Schizosaccharomyces pombe: one gene and its partner. The gene in region 2 interacts genetically with the main gene of each other region. Each region holds a gene or a part of one and is shown on either strand. Other genes may lie near its edges. The genes, in order: map3 and mam2.

Region 1 (9,606 bases), 1.9 Mb from region 2:
AATGTTGACATTGGGATTCGTTTAAGGAAACGATTCATGTTACGTTATTTTATTTACCGTAAACATTTTTGCCATTCCAAGTGCCACTACTAAGAAGTAGCAATAGTATTGGCACTAAGTAAAAGGGAATTGACGGCAAGAAGGAATGCTCGTGAGGGATTTGTTTTGGAGTGTAGTTCTGTAATTTTTACCAGAAATTGGCGAACCGTTTGCTTGGTAAGGTGAGACTGAGATGCAGATAGAGATATAGGATGGGCAAGTAAATGCATATGGAGGTCGTAGTATAAACAAAGAATCATCAATGCAAGACAAGAGGCGGCTTCTTTAGCATTTCCTTCATCGACAATAAATATAGCATCTCTCTCATAAAATGGAGGATCAAGTGAATTTAATTCTTGCAATATTGAAGGGAAATGCTTGCGAAACACCGGAGCACCTTTTTTTCCTGACGGTATTGGAAAACAAAGTTCATTCTTCACATTCAGGGTGGTATTCGACAAATTCAAAACAAAGTAAGATGTATTTTCTGGAGGGGGATAAAATCCCGTAACATCCCCAACAAATATAGGAGTTGGTAAAAGATGGGTTAACGAAGAATTTGACATGGTAGGTGAGTTTCTAGTTGAAGATAGTAGGAGGCTAATTTTTTGCTCCAATTGCTCCTCTGGGCATGTGAGGATAGATTCAGTATTTTGCCAAAAGACTTCAGGGGTCAGCCCATGCGACCATTCTTCTTCGTCATCTGCTGCTCCTTGAACGTAAAGAAATCCATGTTCTCGGGAGTACCCATTCTGTACTTGAGCACTTGCAGTAACCAGAACAACTGTAAAATATTCTTCAAATTGTGCAGATGTTAAACGACTAGCAGGTGTTACCCATAAAGGACGAATGGGTTTAGTTAGCTTAGCCGCCAACGCATCTAAGTCAATGCCGGACTGCATTAAAGAATCTACAAATCCATCTAGCCTCTGTAAAATAGATGATTTTTCTGTATCAGGTAAAAACGGGGGTAAAAAGGCCAAACGAGCATTAGGAAAGGAATGGGGACGAAGCCGTTCGAAAACACATTTATTGAGCGTAGCAATCCATATCGGAATCGTCTTTGATAGAGCATCGGGCATTCTCTTTCCACGACGAGTAGAATCTACTATAATCAATCCATCACAAGTGGTTATCTCATTTAGCAAATGCAAATTGAGACGACGACAGCTAAAAGACCATTGCCCGGTATGACCATCAGTACTTTTGAAATAAACAGAAATCGGAGCATGTCGTCGGTTGACATACCACGTACCGCATCGTTCATTTACAACAGGTTTAAATGTGGGGTACGAAGCTATAACTGAGTCGACAAACTTGGCATCGTGTGCAATTGACAGCAACCGATTCTTTCTTGAAATTAGTGTTAGCCAAATTTTCCATTCGATGACATACAAATAAAAGAAAAGCAAGGCAAAAAGGAAAAACAAGTAAAAATCAGCAAAAATATATATCAGTACGAAATCCAACAAATGGCGATTAGGCTAAAAATTTTTCATGAAAATTTAATAGCAGCTATCCATCGTTTTTTCTTACAATTTGCATTAATTGCTTGTGCGTTTATAAAGGTAGCAATCATTTTCTAAGTCTTTTGATTCTGCCAGCTTATTTGTATAGCAAATTGAGACTTACGGGTGTCTTGCTTGAACATGAATTTGTTGCACAGCGTCTAAAGGGTCGAATTCGTCCATTCGTTTGGCAGATCACTTCTGTGAGAACTAGAAGTTGAGATATTTGAAGTGGTGGCAGTCACGGCAGAGGGAAGTGTTCGTATAGAATGGTGCTCCGGGCAGTACGGATTGGAATGGAGAGTACTACTTTTCGAATTTGTTTCTTTTGTATGAAAAACGAGACTCAAAAACCCCATATTGCGAAGGCTGGCAACGTATAAATTATGTTGGGTTGCAAAGTCCAGGATGTACAAATCGATCGCCCCAATTCTTTTACGATGAATACTGCCAAATACGAACTCCGAGATATAAATCGTTAAAACAGATAGAATTCCATCTAATAGATTTCCAATTGACCATGGACAGAAGGCTTCTCTCAGTTTCTCGTTTAATGTGTGAATGAATACATCCCAATCCTCAAGATTCACATAAGCTCGAAGAGGTACAGGATAATCGGTTGGAAATTGAGGATATTTATCTCCTGAAACCGAATAATCCCTTTCAATGCGAACAAGCATCGAAAAAACCTACTGAAATGAAGCTTGGTGGATTCCCTAGCTCTAGGTTCAAGTGTACAATATTAGAAGACGGATTAGAGAATATGTATAATGAAACTGGGATTCGGTAGAGCACAAGAAAAAAAATAAATAAACAGGAAAGTTATAAGTTAAACAACGTTAAAAATGACTAAAAAATTATAAAACACTCATGAGTTCATCGATTGATCATATAACCGGAACTAAACAAACAAACGTATTAAATGTCAGAATTGAGTGATTAATTGAGTGAATAGCTGTAAAATGGGCAATGATAACTCATTTTAAAAAATCATTATGATTAATTGAGTGAGTTTCAGATTTGAAACAAAAACCACACAGTTTGTCACTAGGTAATTTGAACGGATTTATAGTGAAAATTAAGATTGATAAAAGGATGTGGTTTTAGTTGTTGAGGAATTGAAAATTAATAAAACGTATTGCTCGTTCAGGAAGAGGATAAAAGCTCTCTACAGGATATATTTCATCTACGATAAAAGTTACTTAGAATGAACTGGAAAAACTACTTGGGAAAATAAATGTAATAAAATATAAAAAATATTCGACTGTATATTATATGAGCATTGACTCATATTACTTTAGTCGTTAGATGAGATAAAACTTTGACAACGAATGCGGGCTTTTTTGAAGTCCTTGCTCAGTCCAAGAAGAGCGTCTTAAATCAAGTTCAATAAACTTTTTTAGCTGCAAGGGAAGTTAGGTTGCTTTAAAGTACTCAGCTATCTAAAACTCATTGTGCTTGCTATTAAGTTAAGCGTTAAAGATCCTATTAGGCTTAATATCGTCTGCGTTCTATACGACTTGAAGCTTACTCGCTTCTAAAAGGAATATTCGTTTAAATAAAAGAAACATGCTAAATATATATCTATAGATTCTTACAACCAACTTTTCTTATCCATTTATGCAAGTTGAATTCATGATTTGAAGAAATTCCAAGAAAGACGATTAAAAAAGAACCCTCCTTTACGAAGATGAAAATTTAGTTTCTCATGATACCCATAACATAACTGTTTAAAGGAAATATGTATCGCATTACACTGTTTTGTTTTTTTTTTCCATAGGTAAACAATAGAAAAAGTGTTACCTGTCTCGAGTCACAGAAAATTCGTATGATCTACAATCGCAACCCCAAACTACTTACCATCTACCACCTAATCATTGAAAATTAAAAGATTGCTCTGCGATTGGTAATTGCTAGCATTTGTGATTCACCACTCCGTCTTTACCTATATTTAACTATACTTTGTCAATTTCCCCCTGTTTGATACTTTTTAATTGTTTTACTTATCCAGGATGTCTGAAACGTTCAAGCTTCCCGATCATGACGAACTTCCCCAGCTAGTTCAAACTACTCTTTTTGATGTTGGAGCCAGAGTGTAAGTTTAATCCAATTTTTTACTTTTAAACGTTGAATTATCCAAAATGCTGATTGTTCTGCTATCTTTTTTTGTAAGAGACAGGGCTTAAAGGTCTAAGTACTTTTTTGAAAACTTATAATACAATTGTACTGCAGCACGGCATTTGATGATTTAACTCTTTTTTAGTCTTTTTGTATAATAACTAACAATCATTTAGTCGCAAAGGTACGTGAATCAAATTTAAAAAAAAAAAATGAGTGGATTTGTTTATTAATACCTTAATCAAAAATTTCTATAAAGCACTCTTTCTTCATGTTTATACTTTTAATGGAAAACTGTTTTTATAGAAACTACTTCCTTTCTACCTTTTTTCCTGTTTAGATGAAAGCAGTTTTTACTAACTTTAGCAGCTGTTCAAACTGGTTACAAATTTGACCAACAACTTTTCCCTTCTTACCACAAGGATCAAACTGATAGAAATGAGCTTCCTCAGCAAAAACATGATCCTAATCTTCGTCTCGATGATTTGAAGCAAGAATTGGCTGCTGATTCTATTTTCTGGGATACCGCCTCCACTCAAGAAATCGCCGATTCTTTTGCCAAGCCTGATTTTCTCAAGTCTCATTAAATGAATAAATGAGCAAGATAAAGCTTTCGATACTATTGGGTAATATGTATATTTTCAATAGCATAAATCTTTGTTATTGAGATGAACTATTACTCAAAACTATGAAATTGAATTGAAGATAAAGATTTACTTAATTTATTTCTTCGACTTTGCTTTCTAGTTTTTGCTTGCTTATTGTAGTATTGTTTACTCATGAATATGCGGACTCAGTACTAGTAAACTATACTTTTTAAATTATTTGTTTTGTGTTTCTTTTTTCTCGTCGCTCGCTCATCTGCTATAGTTTGTTCCTTTGAACATTTTCATAATAGTACCATTTTTATTTTCAAATTACGTTAAATGTGTTCAAATATTAAAAACTAAGTACCCTCTATGCAAAACCAAAATTCCTTGTCCGTATGCGTCTTACATTCACAAATATAATCAGCTTAAATGTTCCAGGTAAAAAAAAGGAAAATAAAACACCATTTGAATGTGTCGAAAGTTACTAAAAATCCAACTTCCATAGCTTCAGTATTTTTAAAGGTGGTATAAATAGTTAAGAAGAAAAAGTCATTATTTTTTTGTCACGAAAATCAAATTTTCCTCTTTTTTAAATTTTTATTTAGGTATCATGCTTTTTGGCAATAGTAAAGTACCGCCCACGAGCTTACCTGGCGCTGAGAAAGTAACAGGACGAAATCCCTTTTTGAACTGTTTTCTTTCTTTTCGTTTTTTTGCTAACACCGTACCACTCTCCCGGGCTTCGTTCTCAATTACTTTCTCTATATGTTTCTGTTTCTTCTTCATTCCTCTACGAGCAGCCATTGGCATTTTCTCGGTTTCCTTCTTACCGCCCAGTTGAGCAATGTGCTGCTGAACGACTTTGTGACGGATTTTTCCTTCAGCAACCAACTGAACTTGACCTGTCCTTGAGGTTGCCTCATGTAAAAGATGAGATTCTCGTAAAAGTTTTTGTAGTTCTAAATCGTTTTTTAGATTCTCGACTTCATCATCATCTGAACCATCATCATTTTGACGAGATCGTTTTCGCAATTTTTGTTCTTCTCTCTTCTTTGCTAGAATTTCTTCTTCATCTTCTAACTTGGGCATTTTTTTTAAAAAAGATACACGACCTACGGTCGCTGACAGAGTTGGCTTCTCAACTTCTTGATGGGAAACTCGTAGAATTTTGGACCCAAAAGACACATCTTCTTTATCCTCCATATCTGAAATAGCGTCTTCCTCCTCATTGCTGGTAGTTGGAGATTGTTCTTTTTCTGAAGCATCCGAATTGAAAGCAGTTTCAGAAGGCTTTGCTGAAACAGGTTGTAATCCTTCGATGTGTCCAAATTGATCTTCAAAATGCCTCTGTAAGGCTAATAAAGCATTCTCTGACATGTTTATTGTCAAAATTATAAAGAAGGTGATAGGAAGAATGAAATAAAAATTTATGGTGGAGTTTGTATTTGACAGCTTACTTCACTGGTGCTGTAACGTCTCAAAGTTGCTCACTTCAACTATTTTTTTATATAAGACATAGCAATTCTGTGATTGTTTCATTTCTTCTCTTTTTTGTTTTGCACGTTATTGGGAAATTTGAAGATATGGAAAAATCGCAGCACACTTTGTTTCGACCATGTATCGATATTCATCAAGGTCAAGTCAAACAAATTGTTGGAGGCACATTAGGAAATGACGCAGACGTGAAAACTAACTATGTATCATTAAAACCTAGCAGTTATTATGCTGAACTGTACAAATTGAATCACCTCGAAGGAGCACATGTTATTATGCTTGGGCCGAACTGCGAAGAAGCAGCTAAAACGGCTTTGCACACATGGCCTGGTATGTCGTGCATTTTTTTTTTGGATAAATAATTTTAATTATTTTACAACTTACAAATGAAGGTGCTCTTCAGATTGGTGGGGGGATTAATATTTCTAATGCACAAAACTGGCTACAAGAAGGTGCCTCAAAGGTAAATTTAAAATTAATTTACATGCTATGTTAAACGTTAATCTTCTTTTACATTAAGCAATCTCGGATGTGATTATTTGTATATTCATTTCTGAGTATGCAATATTGATTAAAAAATTGCAGCTAAAGCTGGTCATAAAAATACATGCTCATAAAAAGAGTTGTGTTCCAAAGGCATTAGTAAAGTTACAAAAAAAGAATGATGCGTAAAATGATTAACAATCAAATGAAAGTGTGAAGTTCCTAACTTTGTCTAGGTAATAGTAACTTCTTGGCTGTTCCCAGATGCCCAGTTTGATTTGGATAGACTGAAGGCTATATCTTCAAAAATTGGAAAAGACCGCTTGGTTGTGGATGTGAGGTAAGAAACCAATTCGCGAGCAAAGGAGGAAACTTCCAAGAGTATTATTAATAACAAAACTTACAGTTGTCGTCGAAAAGATAATAGGTGGTTCGCTGCCATCAATAAATGGCAAGTAATGACTGCTTTTGAACTAAATGAAGAAAACTTAGATTTACTGTCTCAGTATTGTTCGGAGTTTTTAATTCACGCTGCAGACGTTGAAGGTCTATGTAAGGGTATAGATGAGGACTTGGTAATTAAATTGGGAGAATGGGTCAAAATTCCTACCACTTACGCTGGAGGCGGTCGCAGTATAGAAGATTTGGATCTGGTAGATAAATTGAGTAAAGGAAAAGTTGATTTAACGATCGGAAGTGCTTTAGACATATTTGGCGGCGTCTTGGAGTTCACTCGAGTTGTCGCTTGGAATCGACGATTTACTCCATTGCCTCTCCAAGACTAAACATTTTTCCTTAAAATCAGTAGAATCCAAAGTCTTTCCTGCCATAGTTGATTCGATACTCTTACAGCAATCCAATTTGAATTGTGCATGACGACCCAACGCGGTATTTTTGGTAAAAGGAAGCCATACCAAAAGAGACCAAAGGATTAATGCAACCTTTTCTGTCCAACCACCACTTGTACTGAAAAACAAAGACATGAGGTAAAGAACGGTTGGAGGGACCCAGTCGTTTAGTCCAACCTTAGTTGTAGGATAATAGGTAATTGATTCCTGATGCCAGGCTTCTACTAGTTCATGGTTGAATGGTAAAAACTGCTGTAGTTTTCCATTAGCTACGACCATGAAAATGGTTAGTGGAAAATAACCGAGGAAAAATACAGCTGCCAAACATAGCAAGCGTAAGAATCGTTTTGAGGTTAGTTGAGAATCTCTCTGAAAAAATTGCTGCAGTTCTCTTTGTCGACGCCAGTAAAGCACGACGATTCGGGAAACGAAGAACAAGCCACCAAAAGACAACAGGCATGGAGGGATGTAAAAAAATAAAAGCGTGTACCACGTTTGGTAAAAAGAGCTGTAGCATCCATTCATGCATATTACCACATAACGGTTACTTTCCAAAGGAACCATCATTGCCATGATAATCAATGGCAGCAGGATGGATAAGCATACATGCCAAATCCAATTTTCATATCGTTTGAGAGGGTGGTCTCTGCGAATGACTGTATCAAGATACAGGACCAAAGTGAAGGCAGATGCAGGAATTCCAATACTTGAACATGTGACAATTCTAGATGTAATATCACACAATCCATAACCCATCCATCTAATTGTTTCTGCGTAGGGATTGCTCCAAATAGCAGACTCGACAACGTAGATGAGAGTTGTTAGGGTTAACCAAAATAAAAGCAAAAGGCAGGGAATGTTTCTCGCACGCAACTGCATGTATAAGATGGGGATAGACAAAACAAGGGCAAAGTAAGCATAAAATTGATAGAAAATCCCAATAGGCAACATGGTAAACTCAACGTATAAGTAACTAATAAATATGATATAAAAGAAAGTAAGATACAAAAATTAAATGGTACACAAAGACCTATATAGAATTTCAAAATATTAAAGAAGGTGAAAAAGAAAGCCGAAAGACGATGCGCAAACAAAAGAGTATAAATTCAGTGATGATGGTAGTCTTGATATTTGGATAGAGCAAAAATTGGAATTGTATATGCCAAGATTTTCCTAAGATTGCCAAAGTCGTGTACAATTTGAACTTCAATATTGTTCCAAAATAAAAGTAATAGACACGGAAAATGTATTATTTAAAAATACAGGACAGGAAACGAAAAGGTTAAAGCTATTGGAAACACCTTTGATCGCTCGCCAGATATCCCGCGCGAAGCTTGAAAACTTGAAAACAACTTGCGAAAACAGAGCACGGTTCGTAATTAAATGAGTAAGAAAAATTACTGTTGAGTATAGAACCTTGTTTGTATTTATTTGGCATATTGAAGAAGGGCAGTAGGCTCTTTATATACCTACCGTGAGAAGCCTCAGCATAGAGATCCATTTTCGGTCGGTCAAAGAGTTCAGCCCATTTGATTATCTAAAGCATAGTATTCCAATTTGAGGCATCAAAAGCGAATTCTTTATCTTTAATAAATCCATAGAATATCTTTTTGATGGGTAATCTGCGAAGTAAATACGTAAAGAAATTTTGGTGTTTAACGACTGTTTGACTTCATATATCGCGGTCGTTTATATTAATTGATGAGCGCATTGCAAAGAAAATTTCTTTTTAGATTTTGTACTCGTGAACAATTGTGCTGATGCGCTGAAGTTTTACTTTATAAATCGCAGCCTATATACGAGAGTTTGGTTTGAATTGCACTCGGTATATTATGGAATTGGTACACTAGCCGTTAGTCATATCTTCCTTTATATATAATTTATAAAAATACTCTTTCCTGTAATCTAATTCCATCCTTTACTTCTCTAAACCCGAAAACGAAATCAGTAAACATTAACGCGTACACATTTACGCGTAAGTCAATTCTTTCCAAATAGCTGGAGTATTGATCCAGATCAATTTTTTTTAACTGGTTTGTTTGTTAAAAATTTCAAGTAGAAAATAAAACAAGTTACTCACATTAACGAGCTTATATTTTGTTAACAATAGCACTAGGTAACTTCTTACACGTATTAGTACTGGTAATACTTATCCTATAAAGTTACGACTTAAATAGCGCTATTATTAAACAATATACTCAACCATGCTAACGAATAACTTGGGTATTTAATTAATTATAATTCTGCGAAGTAAAACATGTAAGCCATATTTGTATGTTTGTATTTCTTTTAGTACAAGAAAAGAAGAGAGCAATCAATGTTATATAAAATAAAAGCAATAAAATGTAAGAGCAATAAAAGTAAGCAATTCTCGTTGATCCGTGTGCAAGTTTTATATACCAATATGTTCATTATCTCAACCCAGAGAACCAACATGAGCAAGACAATAGCATCTGTTTTCCTCATCATTTATCAGAAAATGTTGCACGGCTATAACCTGATGCTGATGTTTCGTATATCACAATA
Region 2 (14,822 bases):
ATACCGACAACCTCCTGGACTGTGTGGAGAAGTTCTAGGGACGCCACGGATAGCAACAAACAAAACACCGACATTAAAGCTGAAAAGATGTAGATCAAATCTAAGGTCGGGTACTCGTGAACGTAATGCTTGACGGCAACGGATTCGATGGCGGTAGTGAAGGAACTCCAAACACCCAGTATAATTCCTATGGGGGCAACATGGCTCTCAAAACGTACACCAAAGCCAAAGCCAAGCATTACAAGTAAACAACCGCCAAAGGGAAATAAGCGAGTTTTTTGCTTCAACAATACAAATGAAAGGAGAATTGTAAAGGGTAGCAACAAACCTCTGGAAATTTGGTAAAATGAGACAGGTACAAAAGCCAAGCAATAGGTCTTACTAACGATGCCAAGAATCTTGACAAAGATAAACTTTTTAAGTTGAATTGCAGAAGCTAATCTTAGGGTTTGAAAATGAACGGAGGAGAATCGCCAATACATCTTTACCATGAGAGATGTGAATGCCATTTGAAACGACAACATCAGAAGTGGTGCGTTGATGATATTGAGAGCTTGCTTGTTGAGAATGGTAACTAGGATAGCGAAAACGATTTGGGAGGAAACCGCAAAAAATATGGTCAGTCGTGAAACAGGAGCATTTTCCGAGTCGGGCTCTTTTGCATTGGCCTCGAGAACACTCATCTCCTCCAACTTCCTGGTTGATATACCATCCTCAATATCTTTCGACAAGGGATCATCCGACTTGGAAAAATACAAGGAAGATTTGCCAGTGGAGTCGGTTTCCATAGAGTCCAACGCCGTTTGGCTATCAATGTGGTCTAAAGGATCTTCATCCTTTAAAGGAGAGTAATGCGCATTGACGGTTAGCTTGGAACTCATTTTAGTTAAATCGTTATGCTTTTTTATTGAAGAAAGTATTAGAGGCGTGAAGAAGAATTAAAACAATAAAATTTCATAAACAACCAAACAAAAAGATACTTCTACTCTGCCCAGAAGAGTCGGCTAGATGACAAGTATGCAATGAGGAGCGGCGGCTTAAAAAAATGAACGACCTTTTGCACCACTTTTCCAACGTGATTCACGTTAGTACCGATACAATACAAAGGGGAGATATTAACGAACAAATAACAAAAGACAGAAGACGCAAACGAATTTCACCAACACAGTAATAAGTTACACGTTTGCTTCCAACTGCACAGTATTAAGAATACGATGTGGTAGGAAAAATGTAAGCCTAGGAAGCACTTGGGAGGCGTTTTTACACGAGAACGCGAAGCTGCTTATAAGGAGGATGCAAGTCACAAAATTGAAGGTATTTTTTATAAGGGAATTAGACGAGACGGCCTTGAGGTGACAGCTTCAAGAAAAGCACATACGCCTTGATAAGAGGGGGTTGAGTCTTGTTTGTTAGAAGGGAGAGAAGTAGTAATATTGAATGTCGATGAGCCAGAGGAAGGGGAGAGAAAAGCGAAAAGGGTGCTGGTGGAAAGGAAGAAAGCAAAGAGGTAGGCACAATAAAGTGACCAAATAATAAAAAAAAGAAAAGAACAAAAAAAAAGTAAGTGAAATATGAAGGAACGAAAAATAATTAGGAAGAATAATTTAAGAATTTCATAAATTAATTTACCGGGCGCTTGGAAATATATTTTGTTTATACAACTACAAATTTGGTTGTTAGTTACTTTTCACATTTGGCTTTCTCATGCTGTACAAGACATGAATGCATCTTTTTCTCCATCTGTAGTTTATTTTTATTTAAATTGATTTTATTTATGTCTACAGTGTTAATCCCAACCTTTGTCCCTTATGGAAAGAATCTTCTAAACACTTCTTTCTCTTTCAGTAGTTTATTGTGCATTCTATGCTTCTACAAAGATGGTCCCCTTCTTTTTCTTTATTCCCCTCTTTCTGCTAGCTACTATTGTTTACTCTATGCTTCCTACACTTGGAACTTTGTTCTATCAGATGAAGCTTATTTTCAAGCTGCTCCTGGTCGTAGTGTACGCTTTGCTGTTTTGTGCTTGAAACCAATGGCCACGAAAAAGGCCAACAAAATGCACGTTTTCATGCAAGCAGCTTGCTTTCACTTCCGAATAGCAACTATGACGGTTATAGGTAACATGGCGCGGTCAGATCATGATACTGCGCTTAATTGCGTCAAGCGGATCAATTGAGATAGCTGATCTATCGATCGAGAGCATTCATGCATTGGTCTATTTGAAAAATGTGGGGCTAATTCAAAGTTAGAGGGGTCACAACGTTCAATCCCGTATTTATCAGGGATAAACAATCAGATTACGCCTGTAAGGAAACAACATCGCAAAAAATACACTAACAAACAAAGCAAATGTAGGAGGTGTGTGAAACCGGACAAGAAAGCAATAAACTAGACGTTTTAACTACCTTCTCAGCATCTCATGAGTTAGCTTGACTTATCTTTAACAGCGAGTATTTTTTATTTTTTTATTTTTTTTTAACCTATGCCATTTCATTTTTATACGAAACATTCAATTTTACCCTTCCACGTGACCTTCCTTTCTTTTTCCCGTCTCCTTATAGCTCTTGTTTTAAATCCCCTCCATCGTACCTCCCTAATTAACAGAGCGACTGGAGGCAGCCCTGCAGTTGCTACGACTCCGAAATTTCGAATGCCTTACTTGTGTAAATCCCATCCCCCACATAGGGCTTTTTTGTCAATCTTCGTCTTGAGAGCACGTTTCCTAGACTAAGACTTGATTTTCTTTTTGAAAACCCCAGCAGGCCTACGTGGGGGAAGTGACTTACGACTTGATTCCTTTTGGAGATACCCCAGCAGTACTGAATGGGGGTCACTCCAAGCCATATTCCATTCTGCAAATACGGACGGTGTTCGTTTTGAACATTTACTAATCAGCGTTTCGGTAAATACTGGCCAAATTACCCCTAGCTAACATGTTGCTTGAGTAGTATTGACGAAAACGTTATCGTACGAAGTTTGCTTGACTCATAACTACGGAACAACCAATCATACATTATCATAAACTTTAAACAATGATTTAGTCATGGGAAACCAAAGATGAAAACATTTGAACGAAGAGGATTTGCTTCTTATTTCAAACCGGCACATAGCATATAATCCGCGTTTCAGCAGGCATCCGTAACTTTCCTTTTACTCTATTTCTTTTCTTCTTTCCCTCTGCTTGTCAAATCTACTGTTCAGCTAACTTTTCATTTTCGCTGTTGGTTGCGCTATTTTTAAAGAACAAACGCGAGTTTCTTCACGTATAGCTTTTTCTTTTATATTATTGTCGATTCATTAGTTTAAAAAGCGCGTCCTCGTGTTTAAACAAGATTGTCCTTTATTTTTCTCTCTCTCCCTTTTTCCGTCTTTGCGTGTCTCTCTTTCTATTTTTTTCGCTTCATTCTTTCTTTCTCTTGTGTACGCACGCGTTCAAATTTCTTTTTCTTTTTGTTCGTACCTTCTCACTTTCACTGTTTAATCTGCACCTCCTTTCTTCTTTCTCTTTGCATTTGCTTCCTAAATCTTTAAATATCAGATTGAAAAAGTCTCGTTACCACTCATTAAGCTCCTTTGCATCCTTGTTTTTCGTTACTTTAAGGTTAGATTGTGCGTTACTTCTCTTTCCAGCCTTAGTCCTTGATTGCCGCATACTTTGGTCATACCAGTGAATTCAAACTCATCCTCTGTACATCAACCCTCCCATATATTGTATAGAATATTGGGAAAAGATTTAACGGTCAAGGGAACTATAAAATTTGGTCAAGTCTTTTTTTAACTACTCATTTCGCATCTTCCAAGTATAAATGCTCTGAGCCCCACTCTTCAAATTTTCTTCCTAGCCTGTCGTGATTTCGTGAGACCGAAGTCCGATTAAAACTCAACAAAGTAAGGTATTTCTTATATATTTTCTCTACTGAAAATTCGTCTTTTTTCGTTAATCATCTTCTTAATTTAATTTTTTTTTTCTTCATTTGCCGTTGCTTTTTTTACTCCCACGGCTCATAATACAAATAAAAGGAAATCTTCTAACTTTCTAATTTCTCTCGTTTAATTTTTGTTTTGGTTAGACATTTGCTACTTTCATTCGTTCCTTCTTCTTCCTGCCCAGAGAAGTCATTGGTATCATCTTTACACTTTTATATGGTTTCCCCCTTTGACTCATTTTCTTATCCTCGTTTCCGTTTGTGTGTCGATTATTTGTATTGAAGGGTTTTAAAAAAATTTTTTCCTCTTTATTTAGTTTTCACACTGGTTCCAAAACTGTTATCACACTTGTTAAAATAGAATAGTGAGTATCGGTTCAAGAATACTTGGTTTTTTCTTCTTTTCTTTCTTTTAATTCATATTTGATTTTTCTTATTCTGTTTATGCTCACATCCAATTGATATGGGCCTTCCATTACGGATTTTTGCTGGTAATGGTATCGGCGGATGGTGTCTTCGACTATTCTTATTTGGAAGCCTCATTCTTCTACTTCGTCCTTTAATCTTCTATTCGAACACTACTATGAAAAAGCTGAAAACCGAATATCCTATTTATCATCGTCATTTGTCAGCTTTAAAACGTAATTTTTATTACACCATGGATGCTCAGTTAGGAGGTATTCGCAATGTTGTTTTGATCAACCGCCCATGCTTTGCCGCCTCTGATAATTTTCTTACTTTAATGGGCCAAAACTGGTACTTGAAAGAACGTAATATTAATGTCCTTTCTGATATATGTTTTCCCCTTTCTAATAATGCTCACGATTCTCTTCCAACTTTTAATAATGGCAGCGACTTATTTAATCCTTTGTACTTTGCAGTTTTGAATGCTGCCACTCCTGCAAGGTTCACATTTCATCTGTTTAATCATGTCATGGACTCTGTTGTTCCTTTTGACGAGGCTAAAAAGTTCAAAGTTCGTTCTTTCCCCATCAATTATGCTGAATATGCCGACGATGAATGTCAACTTGCACTCAAAAAGATTCGACCAATTCCGGATAAGTACCTTGTCTCCACTCGGGTATTATCGGATTCACGATATCTTGAGTTAAGTGGTGCAGTTGTCGCCTTTGCCCCTGATGCGTCTTCTTCTTTGCTATTTGAATTAGCAGATATTAAGCAGCATAAAAAAACTTCAGCTGATATACTGATATTTCTATCCAAAGATCACAATTTGCCTGTTTCATTTTATGATAATTATAAACTTAAATATACATTGCACTTTTGGCAGCCTCCATCTTTTCCCGATTCCTCTACTATCGACGATCAAGCCAAACTTTTATTTGACTACGTGGTGTCCCAAGTTGTGAAGTACCCATATTTTGTAACTGATATTTATCAGATACATTTACTTGGCGTTTATCTTAACTTGAAGCATGTTTATTTACTCGAAAACGATGACGTGGAAGATGCTTATTATGAACGACAGTGGATGCAGGCGTTCCAGCGGAAAAATGTTGTTGCTGTAGCTGAGGAACTTCAAACAGCTCTTCGAATAATTGAACAATGGAAGCAACTTTAAATTACTTCTTCTGGATTCTTCTCTTATTTACTCCAGTCGTTTCTCCTTTTTTATTCTTTGCTTTTGTTCTTTGTTTTTATATTTTCATTTTCATTACTGTTGTTCTATGTTGTTCATTTTTTATTCACATATTTTCGGTTTCACGTTGTTTTTCATCTGTCGGTTTCACGAGGCATTTTGTCTTCGTAAACTACACTTTTATATTTGTTCTTATTTATTTAAGGTTGTTTCAATGTTCCGTCGTTTTGTTTCCTAATGAATTCCTCTTACACCGTTATGAGAAATTTCAGTCGATTTGTGCGGCAATTTCTACTCCTCTTATGCTGTCGTGCTTAATTAAGAGCATTAATTTTTCTAGGCTGTCTTGGACACATTATTAATGGTTTATATATACAATTTAACAAAAAAATTAGGTCGGTAATTTATTTATTTACAATAATAGAAATTCCTGCTTTTAAATGTTACTCATGTTTTCCGTGGATGTCAATCTTCAGAAAACTAGAAGCTCAGAATGTCAAGCTATTTTTGTTAAAACTAGGACCTAATAAGAAAACGCCCTAAATGGGCGAAACCAAATATATACGTCACGGGAGTCTAGTCATTAAGTCTGTTGCTATTGAAGTGTACTAGTGCATATTGAGTAAATAAGATCGTTGGTTACAAAAAGGTTGTATAAACATCAAGCATAAGTAAATAGCCCATCAAAAGAAAAAGGAATCAAAAAGGCAAATAAAAGAAGGAATCGTACCGTCTTTTAACGATGGTCGGATTAAACAGAAAACGTAATCATTTAGCAAAGTTTGAAATTTATGAATCAAACTTCGTATAACTCAATTTACTAGCACATAAAAAGAAAGAAACAGAACATTAAACATAAATATACTCTAAGTAGTTCTAGGACCCAATTTGTCTAGTGCACGTACTCCATACTCCTCCCATTCTGCCTTGGACACCCACATGTGATCGTTTTGAGCCATGATATCTGCCAATACGGCGCCGCCGATAAACACGGCATGACGGCGACGAGGAGCGTCTTCAATCTTAACCTTAAAGTTAGGCAAACGTGCGGGATCTCCATGAAGAACACGCTCAAACCATAACTGTTTTATTTCCTTTTCAAGACGTGAAGGAAGACCGGCATACATACTGCTACCACCTGAGAGAACAATGGCGCGATACAAATACTTGCGAATGTCCACATCAGCTGCTTGGATAGTGTCAAAAATAAATTCACTCAAACCTGGTTGTTCACTACCAACCAGATGAGGTTGAAATAGACATTCTGGACATTCATAACGCTCAGAACCAACTTTAATAACTCTTCCATCAGGAAGGGTGTAATTACGCATTAAAACGGTAGTTTCTTCGCTAAGCTTATGGTCCAATTCCAAATCATAACTAACGTAACAAAGTTTTTCTTTCATCTCGCGAACAGTTTCAAAGTCTGCTGTACGATTGAAAGCATAACCCTTACGAAGAAGTAAGCTAATCAAATAGCGGGTAGCATCCCTACCGGCAACGTCAAGGCGACCAACTAAATGATTTAAAACAACACTTTCATAGACAGGCACAATATGGGTTACACCGTCACCAGAATCAACAACTACACCACTGCTTAATCCCTGTGCGTATAAAGAGAGAACGGCCTGAATGGCGACATAAACACCACCAAAACCATACCGTTCAAACATTGTCTCACACATTTTTTCGCGGTTAGCAACAGGATTCATAGGGGGCTCGGTCAACAAAATTTTCCTACCCCTCGGATCAATTTTTAGTTTTTCAAAGAAAGTGTAATCCCAAAGTTGATTCATCTCTTCAAAATCACGGATAATGCCATTTTCCATGGGATATTTTACTTGAAGTAAAGATCTCACCGCCTCAGCTTCATCACCGACCATAACATCTTTAATTTGAACATTTCCTGTTTTCTCTTCAGCACGTAAAATGGGCCTTCCTACGATGGATGGGAATTGAAAGCGCGGAAAATTGTCTTTAGCATATCCGACCTTGCTAACGTTAGTCACAGTGTAAACAAAGATTTAATTAAACTGATTACCTTCACAAAACCAGTTCCATTATCTAGAACAATGGGAGCAGACTCCATTTTATAAACGTCTCGTGTAGTTGGTGAAAGGTTAGTTCTTAAGTCCACCCCTATGTAATGTACCGGCGGTAACTATCTGCCATATACCGTATGACACAGCAGCACTGCAACTGTAGCAGAGCATTCGGTGATATATCGTAAATATGTAATATCGTAGGAAAGCGAAGTGCAGTAATCTTGAGAATTATAAAACAGAAATGAAGTATCTAAATTAATTTAACAATTGGCTGCAAAAAGAATAGCTCAAAGGTTTTTACGGTTAATGATCTTATCTTCTATTGTACTTAGCATTAGTATCGTTACCCCTTATACTCAAAGCCATAACTGTGCATTTATAATTGTTCGGCAGTAATGTATATTATCGCTTATTAGTTAAAAGATTCTTCGTTTCACATAGTATTACTATTATTTAAAAGAAAAACACGGACTCTATTTGTTTGTTTAATGTGCAGGTAACACTTCGATCGTTTATTATGAGATTGGTATGACTAGGAGCGCTGTGCAAAAATGAAGAATCGCGGAACCGATTTAATAAAGAATTTATTTCTCTAGTAACTAGATGTGTGCATTAAATTGAATACAAGACTTAAACAAAAGAATTATAATTATCGACATATACCATTATTGAATATTTGTCATCTGTTTACTGAAATAAGTGGAGCAATGCAATTTGAGAATAACACATATCGGTTTAAAGATCCTTATTATATTGCTATTACTAAATTAAGGAGTGTAACGTTTCGCAGCTAAAACATTTCGATACAATATTTGATAAAAATAAATGGAGGATAAATACATTTTATTGTCAGCAGGTTGGTTATAATTTTTATTTAATAGCTCAATACTTACGTGTATATAGTGGAAACGTTTAAATCACGTCTGGAAGAACTGCTAATGCAATCGGCCAAAGTACAAAAGCAAACGATGCTTAGAAAGGAATTAGCTTCTTCGATGAATGATATGGCTTCTACGGTACAAGAAGCTTTAAATAAAAAAAAAAGTTCGTAAGGTAAGCACTTGGAGACTCAAAACATTATAGTTCATTATAGATTACGAAGGCAGTTCATTCACTATTGTTTTAATAAGTGTTTGTGAAGTACGACTTGAAGTTTTCATGATAATAAGTTATTATAATCATATAATTTCATTGATGTTTATAGTAAACAATTGTTCATGAAGCGAAAAAAAAAAAACCATTAGAAAACTTCCCTCTGAGCAAATTATGATTACAAGCCTATCGTAAAAAAACCGTCTATGTTATTTGGGACTGTTATTGAGCCAGTATTAGGAATTATCAAAAAAGATACATTCAGGCGTAAGTTACGTCCACTTTTTAGTTTCAGATTCATCAGAAATCGAATAATCGTCACTGGGAGTATGTTTGATATCAAACGTTCTATCAACTCTAATCGAAACCTCGGTGGTTTCTCCTTGCGCAGATGAAGTTTTCATGCTTTGCAATTTCAGAGCTGTACTAGACGCCCATAAACTCGAAAGAGGAAGAGAAATGATTAGCAGACATTGAGTCATAGAGCTAAAGCCATCATACGTATGGATAAAACTATCTATTATAGTAAAGGTAGCTGGAACAATAAGACATTGGCAGCTAATAACTAAAATACACTGCATCGGACCAAATGGAAATTGCCCAATTTTTTTCCGTATTAATATGGCACGAAAGAGTTTGTATGAAAAAACACCACTGTGAAAAATAATGCTAAAAGCAAAAAGTATTTTAGCAATAAAGTAGGGCCAAGAGTATCCAACAATGGTCTTGCTGCTAAGTGGAGTTAACCATAACAGATACTGAATCTGTTGACACATGTTAGTAATCCAAAATGCGAGAACCAAAACAGTTAAGCAGGCACTAATAACAGTCATTATCCTTTGTGTCTTTCTATCATGTGCACAAATTATACGAACTTGAATCATCATGCTCATCTCAGCAGTAAAAATGATGACCGGTGCAAGCAACAAAATTAAAATATTAAACACATGGACATACATATGAACCATGTTTAAGATAAACCCGTAATTAACCAGGATACTGTAGCTATTGCTGCATATGGTCACTATATTCAAAATGGCCCGAAGACACATTGCAACAATACTTGCCGAATTAAAAACAAAAACTGGGTGTTTTCGTTTTTCGGATGATGACAATAGACAAACCATCAAAATGGTAAGGACTCCTAAAGCAAGTTGGGCAGACAAAGTCATTCCAGTTAAAAGTCTATCTCTTTCATATGCATCAATTGTTGAAACTGGCACTTCAATCTCTCCTACAATAGAGACAATGGTAATATTTTGGTGAATAATTGCGGATGCATCGGGAATAGTAAAGTCTTTCCACCATGGTTGTCTCATAATGTCAGAGGGAGCAAGAACAATATAAACCCGAGATTTTTTTAGTTTAAGAAGTTTAAAAATGTGATTTGTAAAGCACTTGATGACTCAGTTTCCCAATGAACTGTTATGCCAATAATTCCTCTTTGTTTAGAATTTCCAGAAAACACTTCTATGTCTCAAAAGTTAAATTTTCGCTTGAAGATATACAGCAAATTTCCAAATATATGGACTCAAAACACACCAATGGAATGCTGTTCGAACAATTGCAAAATTGTAGTTTAAACAGATTCGAAACAAAAAACAAAAGGATTTACTATTGTTTAGACAGTTCTTAAAAATTATTTTTCATCTTTGTCAGAGATCTAGCTGAATTATATAACATTTTTTGTGGTACTCCATTGTTCAGATTTCCTATTGTTAACTTCATTGTCTAGTACCACACCTGAAACAATAGAAATGGAGGAGGTAATTATTAATCAAAGAGATAAGGAGAAATTAGGTGTAACTAACTTTATTGAAGTATGAAAAGTTTAGAGCGTTGGCGTCAAAAGAGGCTGAAAAACGAGGGTATTTATTTCAAGAAGCTCAGCATGCCTATTCAGCAGGAAACAAGGCTAAAGCGCATGAACTAAGCCAAGAAGGAAAGTTATGTGGAGAGCGTATGGAAAATTATAATCGACAAGGTAATCTCAAATTCTCATTAAAAGCTGTGATTGTTAGTTCAAACCCTATAAACTTTCAATAATAGAAAAACAAACCCATCATGAGATTTTTCTTTCTTTCTTTTCCACTCTTTTTGTTTGGTATCTAATTCCGGTAGTTATCGGTCAGACAATACGCCAAACAATAGTAGTTATGACAATGAACTATTCTTTGTACAAAGTGAAGAGCTCTGAAACAGCTGAATAAAGCCATGTGATTTAAGAGAAAAATGGGTTGGCTTCTTTATAGAACTTAAAACACTGGGTTTCTTCAAACCCATATTGGCTTCGAGAAAACAAAATAGAAGTGTTTTATGACTGTGCTAATTATTGATAGCGGCTTCAGCCATTTATTTATATAAAAACTCTCAATGCAATCCCGATGAAATTGATTTACATGGTCTGTACATCGATGAAGCTGTACAAGCAGTACAACAGCGAATTGAGAATTGCATCCGACGTGGTGACAATCATTTACATATGTATGTTTTACGCTTAATTAAAATTAACTCTTTTTTAGTATAGTTGGGCGCGGTAATCACAGTGCTAATCATGTGGAAAAACTACGACCTGCAATTGTGCGAATGCTTGAGCAGCAATCTATAAAATACAACAGTGAAGTAAATGAAGGCCGCATTTATGTTTATTTACCATCTGCGACTTCACCTATTCAACCAAATTTCAATTGCATTCAAGAACCTCAAGAAGCATATTCTCGTCCTCAACATTCAACTTTGACTGATCAAGTTGAGCCTGAAAAAATTGTTGAAGAAATTGCTACGAATTGTTTTCCTCGTCTAAAAACATGTTGTGCCATCATGTAACAGTTTGTTTTTTGCTTGTTAACACAGGCGACCATGGATACCAAATTGGGTCAACAAAATTTTAGGCGGTGAAATTATTAGCCAGGTGTCTGTGTATTAATCTTTTATTTCGATTCGGTCATTATTGTATTTATTGGGTAATTTAGGCTCTAGATTTTTTTGCTTGTTGCAACCTTAGGATTTTTTTTTTATTTCAAATAAATATTGAAACTTTTTTTAATAGATTATTTTATAGGAATATTTTTTTAATAGGTTTTCTCTGCTTTTTGTAAAAAATTCATTTTTATTATTATTTTAAAGATAATAAATCTAGCATTATATTGCCTACTAAAAGTTTTGTATAATTTAATTTATTTAAATTTTGTTTATTGTTGTTCATTAATTTTAACAACTGATTATATCAATTTCATTAAACGGTTACATAAATTTGAAAATTGTTTACACATAATAATAATAATAAATTTAGGTTCGATAAAATTTCGTAAACAATGACTAGTACATTCAACTGAATTATATATATATATATTTTTTTTTATTATTCTTTAAGCTGATAGAGAGGGTAGTACTAATCGTAAATAGTCAGTACCTCTACTGTACGTAAGCTCGCAATTCTTTGCTCGAATTATTTACCACAAAATTGCCTTGCCTTGACATATATTAAATACAGCTACAATTTTCAAGCTTATTTGCTGAAAATAATTGTCGAATGAATATATTTTAATTTGACAATATTTAAATTGCTTCCGCAATCATGGATGATGAAGTCTATAAACAAAGACTCACAGCTTTGAATAATTTGCGTATTGTCATTTTCTTCGATATTCTTATTATATTGTTAGGCTACATAGGAACTTGGAACTTAAAAACTTTACAATTAGTAAATCCTAGCTTATGGTCATTTTCTCCATCTCTATGGATATACATTAGGTATCTTATTTTATGTCGGAAGGAATTTCTTTCTTCCGGCGTATTTTTTAACTAATTGAGATTCATGAGAATCTTAACATGAAGAAGTTCTAACTATTTCAATCAGGGGAACAGTTCTTTGTGCAGATTGCATATTTACAGCGGGTTCGGCAAACGAATACTCTGCCGTTCAAAATTCTGTGTTCCAAGTTTCCAGCCTTATGTTTTATGGCTTGATGATGGAATTTTTTGGGTATTCTTTTGATGTATGTATTTATTTATTAAATTTTCTGGAGAATTCTTAATTAATGATTGTAGAGAGTTGGTTGCATGGAACTCGCTTTCATAAGCTTTTCCGCTGCTTGCTATTTTAATATAAGGTCAATTAAATCTCTATCTTTAAAAAATAAAAATTGGACAATAATCAGCATAATTGAAATTCCTATCAAACTGCACTTCATACTTAATGTTCTGCTGTTTCTTAAGTTTTCTGAATACATGCTTCCTTTACTTGGCAGAGTACATTTGTCCTATCATTTATTTGCATTATGGGTTATTAATTTGTATATTTGGATTAAGTTGATTGACTCCAAGGATTTTGTACTAGGATTTCTTGCAGGATTATCCGTACTTCTTTTAAATACGGGTTCATTAATTACAGCAAAACCACTTATTTCTTACTTCAATTTATTAACTTCCTGTTTAATTATTTTCCCTAGTATATGGATTTATGCAATTGTAAGCAAAAATTATGTTATCCAATCTAACCTTTCTAGGAAAAGAAAAATTTTAAAAACCTAAGTTATGAGGACGATGATTATCGAAATTACTGGTAATGGAGATATTTTTTACAAAAAAATAAATAAAAGAATAATATTTATCTTGTCCATATATTCCTAAAAATGTCGACACTGAAATTCACATCACTATAATCTTAAGAGTATTGAAGCATTTCGTCCCGTATTAAAAATTGTTGTCTAGCTAACAGCTTTATTCCCTTTAACCAAGATGCGGGCATGATTGATTCATGATGCAAGGCCTGATTCAGGGCTCGAATTCCTTCATCCAGTTTTTCGTCCTTACGTTTAAGTTCATAATATTTTAGTTCTCGTTCGGAGGGTATTATAAATAGTTCTTGAACAGATAAGTCTTTTAAATTGTCCAACTTCTGTAGGGCTTCTCTGGCTTTTCTCCTTCTTTTTCCTAAGATGAATCTATTGTTTTCAATATTTTTAGCAAGTGTTTCTAAAGCGTGTCTTTCTTGATCCAAAAGCCTTTGCTTAACCTCTAAGTTTTTAGATATTCGTATTTGTGAAATCCATTTTTCTTCAATAATTTTGTTCTGTTTATGTAGAATTTGCTGAATTTTCACAGGGTCAACATTGGGCTTAAAGTCTTCTGAATACAGTAGCTCAGACGAACCTTTTAAAGGGGTTTCAATATCTGTATCTATAAGGTTGAGCAAACTTTGGGACTCAATTTTTTTTCCTGTCGAGAACACTGAAACTTGTTGAACGATCTGACCTTTAGAAACTTTGGGTTTTTGCGGTAACAGAGCAGGCTTTGAATATTTGTCTTTAAGTGAAGGCGTGTCTTTGGTAATTATTATCTCATTTTGTTCAGGTTTTGGTGGAATAGGTTTTTGGGCAGGAATGTTAGAACTTGGTCGCCTCAATGAAACAGAATCGTGAACAAGCTGTTGTGATGTAGCTGAAAAAGGTGCTGTATTCAGAGAAAAAAGCGTACTTTGAAAAGAGGAAGAATTGGAATTTGTTTCTTGTCCTAAGGAACTATTAGCGGTAATTTTTAAAGGCTTAGGCGGTAGTTTGGAAGGTAACGCAGGCACCTTTCGGAAATGTTGTTCAGAGGAAGATGAGAATGGTTTAGCAGGGATAACAGGAGGAGCTTCATTTTCTTCTTTCACTTTGAGCTTTTCAATAGTATTAACGAGTTTTGTCGGCAGTTCAGGAGGAGAAGTATGTTCTCTTTCAAAGTCTTGCTTTATTAGAGCTTGAACTAAACGATAGATATTAAAAACAGACCGTTCATTTTTCCAAAGTTGTAGTAGAAGACTTGTGTACTTATGCTTTCCTCCTTTTTCATCCAATAATTGTACTATTGGCGGCTGTGATGGATAATAAGAGCGAACCGTTATACAAGCCGAGGTTAAAATTGTTTTGTCAAATGCTGGAGTACTCAAATAAATGCGGACCTCTTCTATTTTGTTTTCGTCTTGCGTATCTACTTCAATATTAATTGCTTGAAGTGTAAACGTGTCTTCACATTGTTTTCTAAACAATAATTCTAGTTCTTCAGCAAGTCCATTCTTCCAAAATCTAATCTATTTTTCAGGTTAAATTGGTAAAAAAACAAGCGGTACCTTTTCAATTGTATTCAAAATTCGTGAAGGGTGTTCATTGATTGCAT

The links.
Region 1: of mam2 (region 2) and map3, changing one suppresses a phenotype caused by changing the other (phenotypic suppression), as found in Schizosaccharomyces pombe (one study listed by BioGRID).

What each region holds. Positions count from the first base shown.
Region 1 is NC_003424.3:2,826,958-2,836,563, forward strand, and holds map3 (pheromone M-factor receptor Map3), read right to left. Parts: upstream 8,032-9,606; coding exon 6,934-8,031; coding exon of another isoform or gene 6,639-6,933; 3' UTR 6,573-6,638; coding exon of another isoform or gene 6,469-6,572; 3' UTR 6,274-6,468; downstream 1-6,273. Other genes in the region: rit1 (initiator methionine tRNA 2'-O-ribosyl phosphate transferase), read right to left, coding at 90-1,392, 1,672-1,730; palmitoyltransferase complex subunit Erf4, read right to left, coding at 1,709-2,227; spd2 (ribonucleotide reductase (RNR) inhibitor family), read left to right, coding at 3,560-3,642, 3,842-3,849, 4,035-4,252; rRNA processing protein Faf1, read right to left, coding at 4,853-5,632; his6 (1-(5-phosphoribosyl)-5-[(5-phosphoribosylamino)methylideneamino] imidazole-4-carboxamide isomerase), read left to right, coding at 5,839-6,079, 6,142-6,212, 6,469-6,572, 6,639-7,017.
Region 2 is NC_003424.3:4,775,848-4,790,669, reverse strand, and holds mam2 (pheromone p-factor receptor Mam2), read right to left. Parts: upstream 9,983-14,822; coding exon 8,936-9,982; 3' UTR 8,748-8,935; downstream 1-8,747. Other genes in the region: phosphoenolpyruvate transmembrane transporter Pet1, read right to left, coding at 1-881; SPOM_SPAC22F8.03C (uncharacterized protein), read left to right, coding at 1,775-2,176; Golgi 4,6-pyruvylated galactose (PvGal) residue biosynthesis protein Pvg5, read left to right, coding at 4,390-5,508; ARP2/3 actin-organizing complex actin-related protein subunit Arp2, read right to left, coding at 6,393-7,517, 7,568-7,615; protein Fta6, read left to right, coding at 8,397-8,427, 8,475-8,623; SPOM_SPAC11H11.03C (uncharacterized protein), read left to right, coding at 10,421-10,429, 10,485-10,647, 11,003-11,147, 11,186-11,489; protein mug162, read left to right, coding at 12,241-12,416, 12,523-12,661, 12,714-13,133, 13,172-13,231; sst6 (ESCRT I complex subunit Vps23), read right to left, coding at 13,330-14,736, 14,776-14,822. UniProt on the Schizosaccharomyces pombe protein: Receptor for the peptide pheromone P-factor, a mating factor of S.pombe. Pheromone signaling is essential for initiation of meiosis in S.pombe; P-factor signaling alone may be sufficient.